Saccharomyces cerevisiae S288C: one gene and its partners. The gene in region 3 interacts genetically with the main gene of each other region. Each region holds a gene or a part of one and is shown on either strand. Other genes may lie near its edges.

Region 1 (3,620 bases), on a different chromosome or scaffold from region 3:
GAGTGATAAATGATTAATAACCAAAAAATTTTGTTTCATCATACAAATTCAAAGAAAGTATTGTTTCATAAGAATGTTGCTGAAAGGACTTTGAGTGAATTGTGAACAGTTTGATAATTATTGGTCCAAATGGCGACATTGAAGACACAGTGTAAATTATTCAATGATGATTTGGCCTGGTTTTTACAAATGATTTTATCGACGTCAAGAGGATACAGTTCAAGAACGGTTAAGCGACATTGACAAAAAATGCTCAAAAACCACTGGTGCAACTTTACTGGTGGCAGTTTTTTGAAGTGAAAAGGAACTTTATTCTGGAGCGGAAGAAATTCAATAAATGTCACCACAATACCGATGCTATTCTTAGATGATCGATAAAATTAAGTACTATCTGTCGGTTTCTCAAATAACAGTATAAATATTTAGTTCACATTTAGAGACGGCTGAATCGTAACAAAATATAGTTCTTATAGATCTAAAGTACGAACACTCCTAATGTATCGCTTATATTGAAGTTTGCTGTGAATCTAGGACGCGTCTGCTGAAATATGCTGAATCAGTTTCCGGTGAAAGACTTTAATTTTGATATTTACCTACGTTATTTACAAGTGAATTGAAATATTCATCAACGTTATGTGTAACTGTCAATATTCTCCAAAAATCCTTTGAATTCCAAGCCGATTAAATCATTTCTATCACAATCATAAATCATGCCCTTTTCGACTTTAATTGTTAAGCCTTTATCTTTAATCTTCACTGAAAATTTAGGCCCCGAGAAATATTTCCATTGTTCGCTCTGTAAGGTGTTCATAGCATCTTTAATCTCATCGTTTATAGATTTAAACTCGTCACAGTAATATATAGGTATTTCGCCGTCAACTTTGAATGTTTTCTGAAAACGCTCGGATACCACTGCAATGAACTGATTAGGAGTAATTATACCAACATTTTTGATTTTTGATTTTACACTATGAACTCCACTTGACTCCCATTCCATATTGTTCGGTAGTGAGGGTTCTAATAAGCCGCTAAACTGTTCTAAATCCGCATTAAGCAACATCGTTGCATGATGGTATGCTTTGCCACCGGCAATTTTATAAGCACTGCCACTAATTTTAAACCCGTCCTGAATAATATCTCCTCTCTCATTCAAATCTAGTCTTAGTTCGGGATTCAATGAATTTAACCACTTAATTATCATTTTGTTGAAAAACTTTGTTTCGAATTTCTCCCTTGATGTTAAATATGAATAATTAACATTGCCCAAATCATGCAGTACAGTGCCACCTCCAGAAAATCTTCTAAGTAGTTCGAAATTCTTACTCTTCAGCTTAGCAAGATCTACTTCCTGCCACAGATTTTGGTTTTTGCCTATAACGGCGCACCTATCATTGATGTAAAATAACAGTCTGCAATTATCGGGACCTCTTTTGGCTCTTGGTGTATTCTTGAAAACATAGTTTTCAAGGGCCAAATTATAATAAGGACTGGTGGATAAACTTTGTATAACAAATCTGCCCTTTGCCTTTACTATATTTTCCAATTGTGAAGCAGACATGATCTGTTTGGCATATCCAATATTATAGAAATTGTACAAGTCTTTATTAAAAGCACTGATATCTTCTTCCATAGAGCTGGCCTTCGTCGTATCATAATCAGATTTACCTTCATCCTGCAAAATTGAAACGTTATCATTTGAAGGTGTAAACATGTTTTCATACATTGAGTTTATATCATGATATTTATCGTCTGCGTCTTTTGCCCATCGTGTAAGTGTGTGAAATAAAGTGGTGCAATGTATGAGGTTTCGCTGTCCCACATATCGAGGGGAGAGTGCCCAATTACTTAGCATCATAGACATAATGTAAACATCAAAGAAAAGTCTAGTGTTTTCTTCTTTTGTATTCATCAAAAATTCTACATACGTGAGCTCGGAGATTTTTGGATGTTCAATATTCCTGATTAAGTATGACGAAGCGGAACGCATAGCTATCCTTTGCGTAATGATGAATATGAACAATGCGAATGAAGATCATCGATATCTTTGCACTAAAAGACTACTTTGAAGGAATCCTCAAGATATTAAACCCACCAATCTTTTTTACTGGTATAAATTCTCGTACGGGTTCACAGGAACAATGATAAATGAGAGCGTTTCCAAGAGAGAAGGATTCCACGAGTCTATAAGCAGAGAGACGAGTGCAAGCAACGCTTTAGGACTATACAATAAATTTAACGATGAGCGAAATCCCAGGTATCGAACGATGATTGCTGAGCTGCACGAGTTTTTTCACCTTACTTTAGCTGAAACTATAACTGAAACTGACGTGAAAGAATTGGAGTGTAATAAAGAAAAGGCCGCTAAATTTAGAAAGCTAATGCCTAAGATGTTGAACAATTGCCGTGAATTAACGCAAAGGAAATCATACATTCCTTACAACTCAGAATTTAATGGGAATGACGAAAAGCAAAAGAAGTTTCAGCTGCTACATCAACACCAAATTGTGCTGAGTTTTCAAGAATTTTGTGATGAATTGGCAAAGTTAATAATTGACGCGCACGTCCTTAGCTTTTTGACCAGATGCGACTATTCTTATGAAATTATACCCAAAAATTGGACCTCTTTTTACAAGCTATTTCAGTACGTAATGGGTGCCGTTGGTCCTATTATATCGTATGTGCCGGTAAATTATCCCATGATAAGAAAAGAACTAGGATTTGAGACCTTAACGATATTTCAGTATTATGATTCCAAACTTTTCGAATGTATGAAGTCACATTTTGGAAGGGAATTTTCCACCCTTGTAAGCGCTACTATTCATCACTATATTCATATGTTTCCAATAACGAATACAATGTTAGAGAAGGAAGTTCCTATGCTCCGTATAATGTCTAACTGCAATTTTAGTATAGAGGGCTTGAGCCCCAAAGATTTTTATATGAAAACTCTCAGACAATATTACTGTGAGGAATCAAATTTAAGGCCGAGGCTGGAAACTTTCAAGAATTTTAAGGTACTATTGACGAGGAATGCATTATTAGCATCTTTATTTTCCCCTGAATGGGTCAGCGATGCAAATGACCTATTTATAAGCCATCTACTGTTGAACAAGAAGTCTATTAGCGAATACATAGAAATTGGGAAGGACACTTATGATGAAGAAAAAGAGAGATATTTCAAAACTGAGACACACTTTAGCTTATTGATGTTTAGAAATGCTTTTGAAGCAAAAAATATGCTGTCAAAATTCAAGGAATTCTGTGATGATGCCGTTTCAGAAAAGTTAAAGGCAGCATATGGATCCAATCATGATACTGAAAGGCTATTTGATGAGGTAGTTCAGCTAGCTAATGTAGATCACCTCAAAATATACTCCGATTCCATCGAGTACCATTTATGTAATTTACTTGGAAGTACCAGCAAAGCCATAGAACAGTATGTCAAATATTTTGAGTCACATTTATTCATCATCGTCAGAAAGATAAAAACAACTAAAAAAGACCTACCCAGAGATATGAAAATAAAGTATCTCAACGAAAATCTTCCTATATTGAGACTGAAGTTCGTTAACCTTCCCACATTTCCTAATTTTTTCGAAAGATCAATTTTCAGAAAGACG
Region 2 (3,851 bases), on a different chromosome or scaffold from region 3:
ATTTTAAGGTTAATTCAGGTATTATTTTTATGGCGGTTTCAGGTATTTTACGTAATATTATTATTATATCATTTTTGTAGCAATATATTATTTTTAGCGGTGCTTTATAAAACAATGGATACTAAGGATGGTTCAATTCACTCATCATTTGGATTTATCACTATAAAAAGCAGTAATGAATCTTATATACATTTATTTCAGTGAATCCATATTTAAGAGAGCTTCCTCAGTGACCCCTCCCCAAAACTCCTCTCCTCCTGGGCCCTCTCTTGATTAATTTAAATTGCAAAAAGATTTACAAGTTTGCGAAAAGACTGCTTTATTTCCGCTTGGCCTGTGAGCTGTGTGTTCTCTCTTCTAATCCAGTAGGCATGTTGCATAAATAAACCTTATATTTGATGTTGTTTTAGAAATGTAATCTATATATAATTTCGTAGTATAAATATTTATAAATAAAGAAGTGAAACCATACCACTCATAAATAATGCGGGATGGTTGTCCAAGTTTGAAAGTAACTAAAGAACATAACTCGATGTCATATCAAACGTACTGGCAAATAAAATAAATCATTGGAGATGGATGAGTGTGGCGATAAGGCCCACGTGAATGTACAACTTCTCTCTTTTTCTGTTTTTTTTTTTTTTCTCAGTTACAAACCTTAGATCTTTTGTTCTGGATTTCTCTTTTCCCAGATGATCTTGGCTGGACCGGTTGGAAGAGTAACCATAGATGTAAAGTCAGGAGGTGGAACGGTCTTACCCTCTGGGTAATGCCATTTTAATGTTCTGATAAAAATGGACATTAGAACACCTAGCTGACAGTAAGCAAAGTGTTCACCGATACATCTGTGTCTACCACCACCGAAAGGTAAGTATGGAGAGCTGACACCCTTAGAAATGGCACCGAAACCGTAATCGACTTCTTCACCGACGGAATAAGAGGAGGCAGAATCTTTGTTCCAACGGTGAATGTTGAATTGGTGAGCATTAGGGAAGTATTCGTCTCTTAAATGAGTGTAACCTGGAGAAACCAAAACGTGATAACCTGCTGGGATGACATAAGAAGTGTTTGGAACGTGCATATCTTTCATAACCTTACGGAACAAAGAGTGCAATGGATGGTGCATTCTTAGAGTTTCCTTAATAGTTTGGTTCAACAATGGCATTTCTTGTAATAAATCGTAGGTCAATTCCTTCTTACCACCATCCAAAACACGCATTTGTTCTTCGTACAATTCTTGTTGGACATCTGGTCTTTCAGCCAAGTGCAACAAAATCCAAGCAGAAGTGGCAGCAGAAGTATGTTGACCACCCATTAAGACACCAATTAACAAGTTAGCGATTTCTTGATCAGTCATCTTCACACCATCCTTGTAGGTAGAGTTCTTCATCAAGGAATCGATCAAATCTCTGTCTTGAATGTCGTTGTTCTTTCTTCTTTCCTTAATCAAAGACATGTAAGTACCGGAGATAGCCTTTTGAGCGTGATCTCTCTTTCTATAGTGTTCCAATGGTAAGTTAGGGAAGACGAAGTTGATTGGAGTGAAACCCTTATCCAAATCACTGTACAAGTAAGCAAAATCGGTATCCAATTTTGCTCTCATTTCCTTACCCAATAATGATCTTGAAGCGGTGAAAATAGTCATTTCAGGTTGAGTAACCATCACGTCAATAGTACCAGTAGTTCTTTCATTCAAACGGAAGTTTTTGGAGTCTCTGAAGTACTTGTACACTTCTTCAGCAATCAATGGAACGTAGCTCTTGAAGGCTTCTTTGGTTAGAGCACCCTTAACAAACTTCTTTTGCTCCATCAATCTAGAATTTGGACAATCGTAAATAACACCTTTACCGAAAACTGGAGTAGTCAAATGAGCGTAAGCAGCTTCTGCTGAAACATCTGCCAACTTAGCGTTGAAGACAAATTCGTGACCCTTTGGTCCTAAATACACAGTCATGACTCTTCCTAACAAAACGAATGAAAAAATATCACCGTATTTCTTTTGACATTCTTCGAAAAACTCGTATGGCTTCATACCGTACACAACAGCACTACCGACCCATGGAATCCAGTAAAACACTAGAGGTGGACGGTCCTTTCTCAAAGAATATAGTAATTGCCATACAATATTGTAAATGAAAGGAATTATTATGATCAAAGAGATTCTTTGGGCCAATGGTAAAGCCAAGAAATGACTTAAACCAATGTTTACGTATTCCAATGCCTCTCCAACGATTGACTTGGTAGCAGACATCCTTGTATTACTCGTTTGTTCTGTTTCTATTCAAGCCTGCTGCAATTGTGAAGGAAAAAAAATTTTTTCTGGAAACTATTAATTAATATAATGAAAAATTATTACTTCCTATCGAAAATACACACGCTGAACGATACTGCTTATCAATCTTTTTATAAATAATTTACCAATAACGAAAAGGGAAAAAGGAAAAGGGAAAAAAAAAAAGACATTGAAAGAGAGAATTAAGAGGGAATAAGAAAACTAAGGGAAAATACGCTATCTTATATAATGAATACACATGGAGGGCAATTTTTAGAGGCTTTTCGAATACATGCGAGTACGTAAACGTCGTTAACTCGTGGAGATGCACAATAGGATGTGCTCATACCAAGAAAAAAAAAAAATTCAGGCATAAAATCGATGTCTCCTGCAAGATACCTACCACACTTATTGTGTTCTGCAAGAGACTATTGTCATCTGAAAAGCGATTATCTTGAAATCTTAGTTTCGTTTCGTTTCGTTTAGGGCCAGCGCTTCGTTTGTCTCGTTTTTCGTGGATTATCGGCCTTTAAGATTGTCCAACCCGGCAAATCTTGCACGCACATTGTATGTGCGCTGCTCGTATAGTATCCACTTCGTGTGACATTACTATAATCGTACGGCTTAGTCGGGAATAAAGGCTGGCCTCATTTTCGTACAGAGACATTTTGCCGGAAATTTCGTATTTTGCTGTGCCCCCGGTAATTCCCGGGCGCGGCACAAAACCTCTCTAAACAACCGCCCATTGTTGCAATTGTTCGTCTGTACGGGACAGGCGGCGATCATAACGTCGCACGGTGCACAGCAATTGCCGTTTTCGGAGATCTCCCTGAGTAAGCAGTCGTTTACGACCTTAATGGCTTTACAATTATCGGTTGGAACAATAACAAGAACAATTGGTTCTCTGCCTGGTGGTGAGTTAATCTGGTGGGAATGTAGTGCACAGGCGCGAGTAACGTAGGAAGCGAGAGAGAACAAGGAAAAAGAAAAAGTGGAGGAAGGTTGGTTGTATTGTCTTTTTCGGTTCTTTTCTTTTCTTTTTTTCTTTTTTTACGATGCATGTATATGTATTTTAATAGTAAAATATATTATTAAATAGGGGAGTGTGGTTGTGTGATTTAGTAGAGTAGTTAGAATAAAAACGACACAGTGGAAAAAAAAAGGTATTTTCTTTCTTTCTTTCTTCAGATCTTGCCAGCATCGAATCTTCTGGATGCTTCTTTCCAGTTGACCACATTCCAAATGGCTTTGAAGTAGTCGGCTTTCTTGTTTTGGTACTGCAAGTAGTAGGCGTGTTCCCAGGCGTCAATGGCAACTAGAGGAACTAGTGGGCCTGTGACGGTATCCTGGTTGTAGGTTTGAACAACGTCCAGCTTGCCTCCATTAGAGAGGTTTTTCACAATGAAGGCCCATCCGGAGCCCTGCACGCCTGCTAGCTTTGTGTTGGTCAACTTAATCAGCTCGTCCAGACTGCCAAACTGCTCGTCGATTGCCTTTGCCAAAGCGCCGGTGGGTGGTTCACCACCGCCCTGCGACTCTGGAGCCAGGTTTTCCCAGAATAGACAGTGGTTTGTGAAAC
Region 3 (3,683 bases):
GCTGGTGTTTGTGAATACAACGAAGATTCACGTCTATGTACGCCAATTCCAGTTCAGGGTGAAATCGAGATCAAACCAAATGAAGAGGAAGAATTGGGATTTTGGGATTTCGAGTGGCGTCCAACGGAAAAGCCGGTCGGGAGGGAACTTGATCCTATTTCTTTGATTTTAATTCCTGGAGAGACCATGTGGGTTCCAATAAAATCCAGTAAAAGTGGCAGAATATTTGCTTTAGTTTTTTCATCCAACGAAAGGTACTTCTTTTGGCTGCAAGAGAAGAACTCAGGTAATTTGCCCTTAAATGAATTGAGTGCGAAAGATAAAGAAATTTACAATAAGATGATTGGAGTGCTGAATAATAGTAGTGAAAGTGATGAGGAAGAAAGCAATGACGAAAAGCAAAAAGCTCAAGATGTGGATGTTAGTATGCAAGATTAAATCAAGGTTGTGGCATTTTTTGATAAAAAACTGAAGAGAAAAAATATACCATATCAACGCATTTGGCTGTGAACTTCTGTAAAGAGATACGGACCATAACAATAGGCATGATGATGGCATCTATAACTTCTATTGGAAGGTAAGTTTATTTTTCCCATAAATATGTATATATGGTCTATACTCTCAAATGAGCCTACATATTGTTGCATATTAACGAGGTTCCCATCTCACCGACCAACTTAGTTTATCACCTGCTTTAAATGGGATGATGCTTATGTCTTTGCCATCGCTGATAACCTGAGGGATAACTTGTTCTTTTTTGAATAATATTGCCTTATCTGAAGAAGCCACTTCGCTATCTTTAACCTCATAAAAGGAAATTCCGAAGTCGGAAACAAAGCCCTTTAAGTTCTCCAAGGCATTTTGCTCTTCAAAAACTTGGGCGATATAAGGGATCGCAAAAGATTGTGAGTAAACTCCTGCGCAAACACCCTCGTAATTGGCCTTATTTTGTACAGGATGAGGTGCTGAATCAGATCCAAAGAAAAAATATGGTTTCCCTGATACAGCAGCTTTGACTAGAGCCTTTTTGTCATTTGGAAGTTTCGCAACAGGTTTGCAAAAATTTACCGGATTTCCGGCCCAATCATCAATTGTTAAAAATAAGTGATGAGCCGTTAATGTGGCAGCAACCTTTACGTCAGTGGCTTTCTTCACGTTCTTATTTATATCCTCGATTGTCTTTATTGCCGACTCGCTAGTGCAGTGTTCCAGAATTATTTTCAGGTTTGGGAAATCATTATGCAATTTTTTCAAGGCTGGCAAAAAGGCTTCCTCTGCATTCAATACATGAATAGGTTCTTTGTCTCCATCATGGACAGAAGGTTTTTCCCCATGCAAATTTAATACCAGGTTCTCTTCTTGCATAGCCTTGAAAATTGGGTAAAATGCGCTGAAGTCATTTGGATCCACCCCAGCAGCCGAATTTGTTGTTACTCCCGCTGGATAACACTTTACTCCACGAATGGCATGTTGTTGGGCAGCTTCATGAATTAAATCTGGAGTTAAGTCTTTTGAAAGATAAAAACTCATTAAGAAGGTAGTTTTAGGAGCTAGTTTCTGCAGTGTCTTTTTGTATTCAATCACTCTATCTAGTGTGGTAATTGGAGGTTGTAAATTTGGCATGATGTAAGCAATTGAAACCCCACCATCTCTAATCTTGGGGGTGACTAGTTCACACATCGCACCCTCTCTTACATGAACATGCATATCACATGTCAAACCTAAATCGATTTCTTGTACCATTGCTTTGTTAGGTATTACTTAAGTGATATAGTGGTCACCAGAACACTTTCAAAGTATATCCTATCTTTCAAATGTGTTTATCTCTTCTTATATAGCTTCTCTGACGATGCCGATTCATCGGAATTCTCCGAATGATGAAATTTGACTCTGTAGATACTATTCTTGAAAAAATTAGAGCTGATGCCGAAAGACAACTAAACTAGCATCGGTTTCAAGAAAAAATACGCGAGAGGCAGCATGACATGAGTGAATTGTGGGATAATTGTTGAGATTCTATTTTTTTGTAAAGCTATAATATTAGGCATACAAAACATATTAGAAGTTCTCAACGAGGACATGGGAATTCGCAGGAAGAAATCGATATTTCTATGTTATAATATTAGTGTTTCTTCTTTCATTTCAAACGATACCATTCATTTTGTAATTGCATAATTAATCCCTGCATTTCAGCTCCCATTAAATTGGCTAATCCCTAGTGTTGTTCTATTAGTCTCATGATTTATGTCTTTTCTTAACGGTGTATAGTAATTTTCTAGCAACGAAAATGATGTTGGTAAACAATTGTACTAGTATTTGATAAATTTTTCAGAGGCTTACCAACATTAATGAGATATAAACAGATGTATATTGCAGAATAAAAAAGATGTAGCAATATGCATGCGTAAAGATTAATCAAGTTAAACTGGATGGTGTTCGTATCCTGTATTTCCTTGTTGTTGTATTATCGACGGAGGGTTGGCCGAGTGGTCTAAGGCGGCAGACTTAAGATCTGTTGGACGGTTGTCCGCGCGAGTTCGAACCTCGCATCCTTCAGTATTTTTTTTTTATTTTGACGGCGCCACAAAATTTTTAAAATATGGCAAAGACAATGTGCTATGTAGTTTACGGGATTCTAGCCCTGATTCAGCAAAGAGAAAAACACGCAGTCGCAATAATCTCTTAGATTTTTGTTAGTGTTTTATACTTTGACACTTCTATATGTTAAAAAAATTCCTTTTCGAAAATGAAGATGATAATTATTATACAGGGACTACAGTAGGAACTGATTACTATTGTTCGGAAGCTATAATTTTTTCAACAATTTTTAGAGTTTTATCAGCACCAGAATTATCAATTTGAGATTTTTTAGCATAATCGGGACTTTCTAACTTTTTCCTTATGGCCTCATCAAGTTGTGTTCTCAGTTCCTTGATTAAAACACCATTCTTACACCAGGTTCTAATTGGGAGCCAGTTGTCGACAACGATGCCCGGTGAATGAATAGTACCTCCAATGTCATAAGAGATTGCCCCTCCGAATAATAGTAATGATAATGTAGTAGTTGGGGTTAAGTCCCTCAAATACAACTTATTAGTAACTTGAGACGTGGTAAACAAAACAAATGGGTATTTTACAACGGTTGGTATTTTGGATTGACGGGATATTGGACCATCCACCTCAGAGAGTAACTTAGCGTCTTCCAAGTTTACTGAATTGGTTGAAAATAAGACTGAACTTGGATGAATGAATGCCCTAGTAGCAGGTAACGGTAAATCTTCCAAATCAACCTTTTGCGTCTCTTGCGAAATTTTCGTCTTATATTCTTCTAATTTGTCCTGATACTCTTCGCTTCGAATCCAGTATTTGATCATTTTGGCTTCAGGATCTTTTTCAACAGCACCGGAACTTGTTGATAGATACTTTACATCTGGTAGTTGCACCCTGGCTATGTGTGGATAAAACGCACCCGTGAGAATGGCCCTTAGGATATCAAAATTTCGCTCGTTCCTATTCAAATCAGAAATGCTTCCAACTTTATAGTCCATTGGTAGAAAGCCTACATCTTTCAAAATAGAATAATATTGGGCTGTTGATGACTTAATTTCATTAATTTTATTATAGGAAAGTAAATTGTCTCTCAAATATTTCCTTTTGATGCTCGAATCTTTGATTTTGAAGTA

Evidence for each region.
Region 1: mutations in URA4 (region 3) and AIM22 together harm fitness more than expected from each alone (negative genetic interaction), as found in Saccharomyces cerevisiae (2 studies listed by BioGRID).
Region 2: mutations in URA4 (region 3) and ERG11 together harm fitness more than expected from each alone (negative genetic interaction), as found in Saccharomyces cerevisiae (2 studies listed by BioGRID).

What each region holds. Positions count from the first base shown.
Region 1 is NC_001142.9:350,627-354,246, reverse strand, and holds AIM22 (putative lipoate--protein ligase), read right to left. Parts: upstream 1,862-3,620; coding exon 632-1,861; downstream 1-631. Other genes in the region: cullin RTT101, read left to right, coding at 2,139-3,620. UniProt on the Saccharomyces cerevisiae protein: Catalyzes both the ATP-dependent activation of exogenously supplied lipoate to lipoyl-AMP and the transfer of the activated lipoyl onto the lipoyl domains of lipoate-dependent enzymes.
Region 2 is NC_001140.6:119,433-123,283, forward strand, and holds ERG11 (sterol 14-demethylase), read right to left. Parts: upstream 2,252-3,851; coding exon 659-2,251; downstream 1-658. Other genes in the region: STP2 (Stp2p), read left to right, coding at 1-7; YHR007C-A (uncharacterized protein), read right to left, coding at 3,118-3,333; superoxide dismutase SOD2, read right to left, coding at 3,457-3,851. UniProt on the Saccharomyces cerevisiae protein: Sterol 14alpha-demethylase that plays a critical role in the third module of ergosterol biosynthesis pathway, being ergosterol the major sterol component in fungal membranes that participates in a variety of functions.
Region 3 is NC_001144.5:961,845-965,527, reverse strand, and holds URA4 (dihydroorotase), read right to left. Parts: upstream 1,744-3,683; coding exon 649-1,743; downstream 1-648. Other genes in the region: proteasome regulatory particle lid subunit RPN13, read left to right, coding at 1-438; YLR419W (RNA helicase), read right to left, coding at 2,793-3,683. UniProt on the Saccharomyces cerevisiae protein: Catalyzes the conversion of ureidosuccinic acid (USA) to dihydroorotate, the third step of the de novo pyrimidine biosynthetic pathway.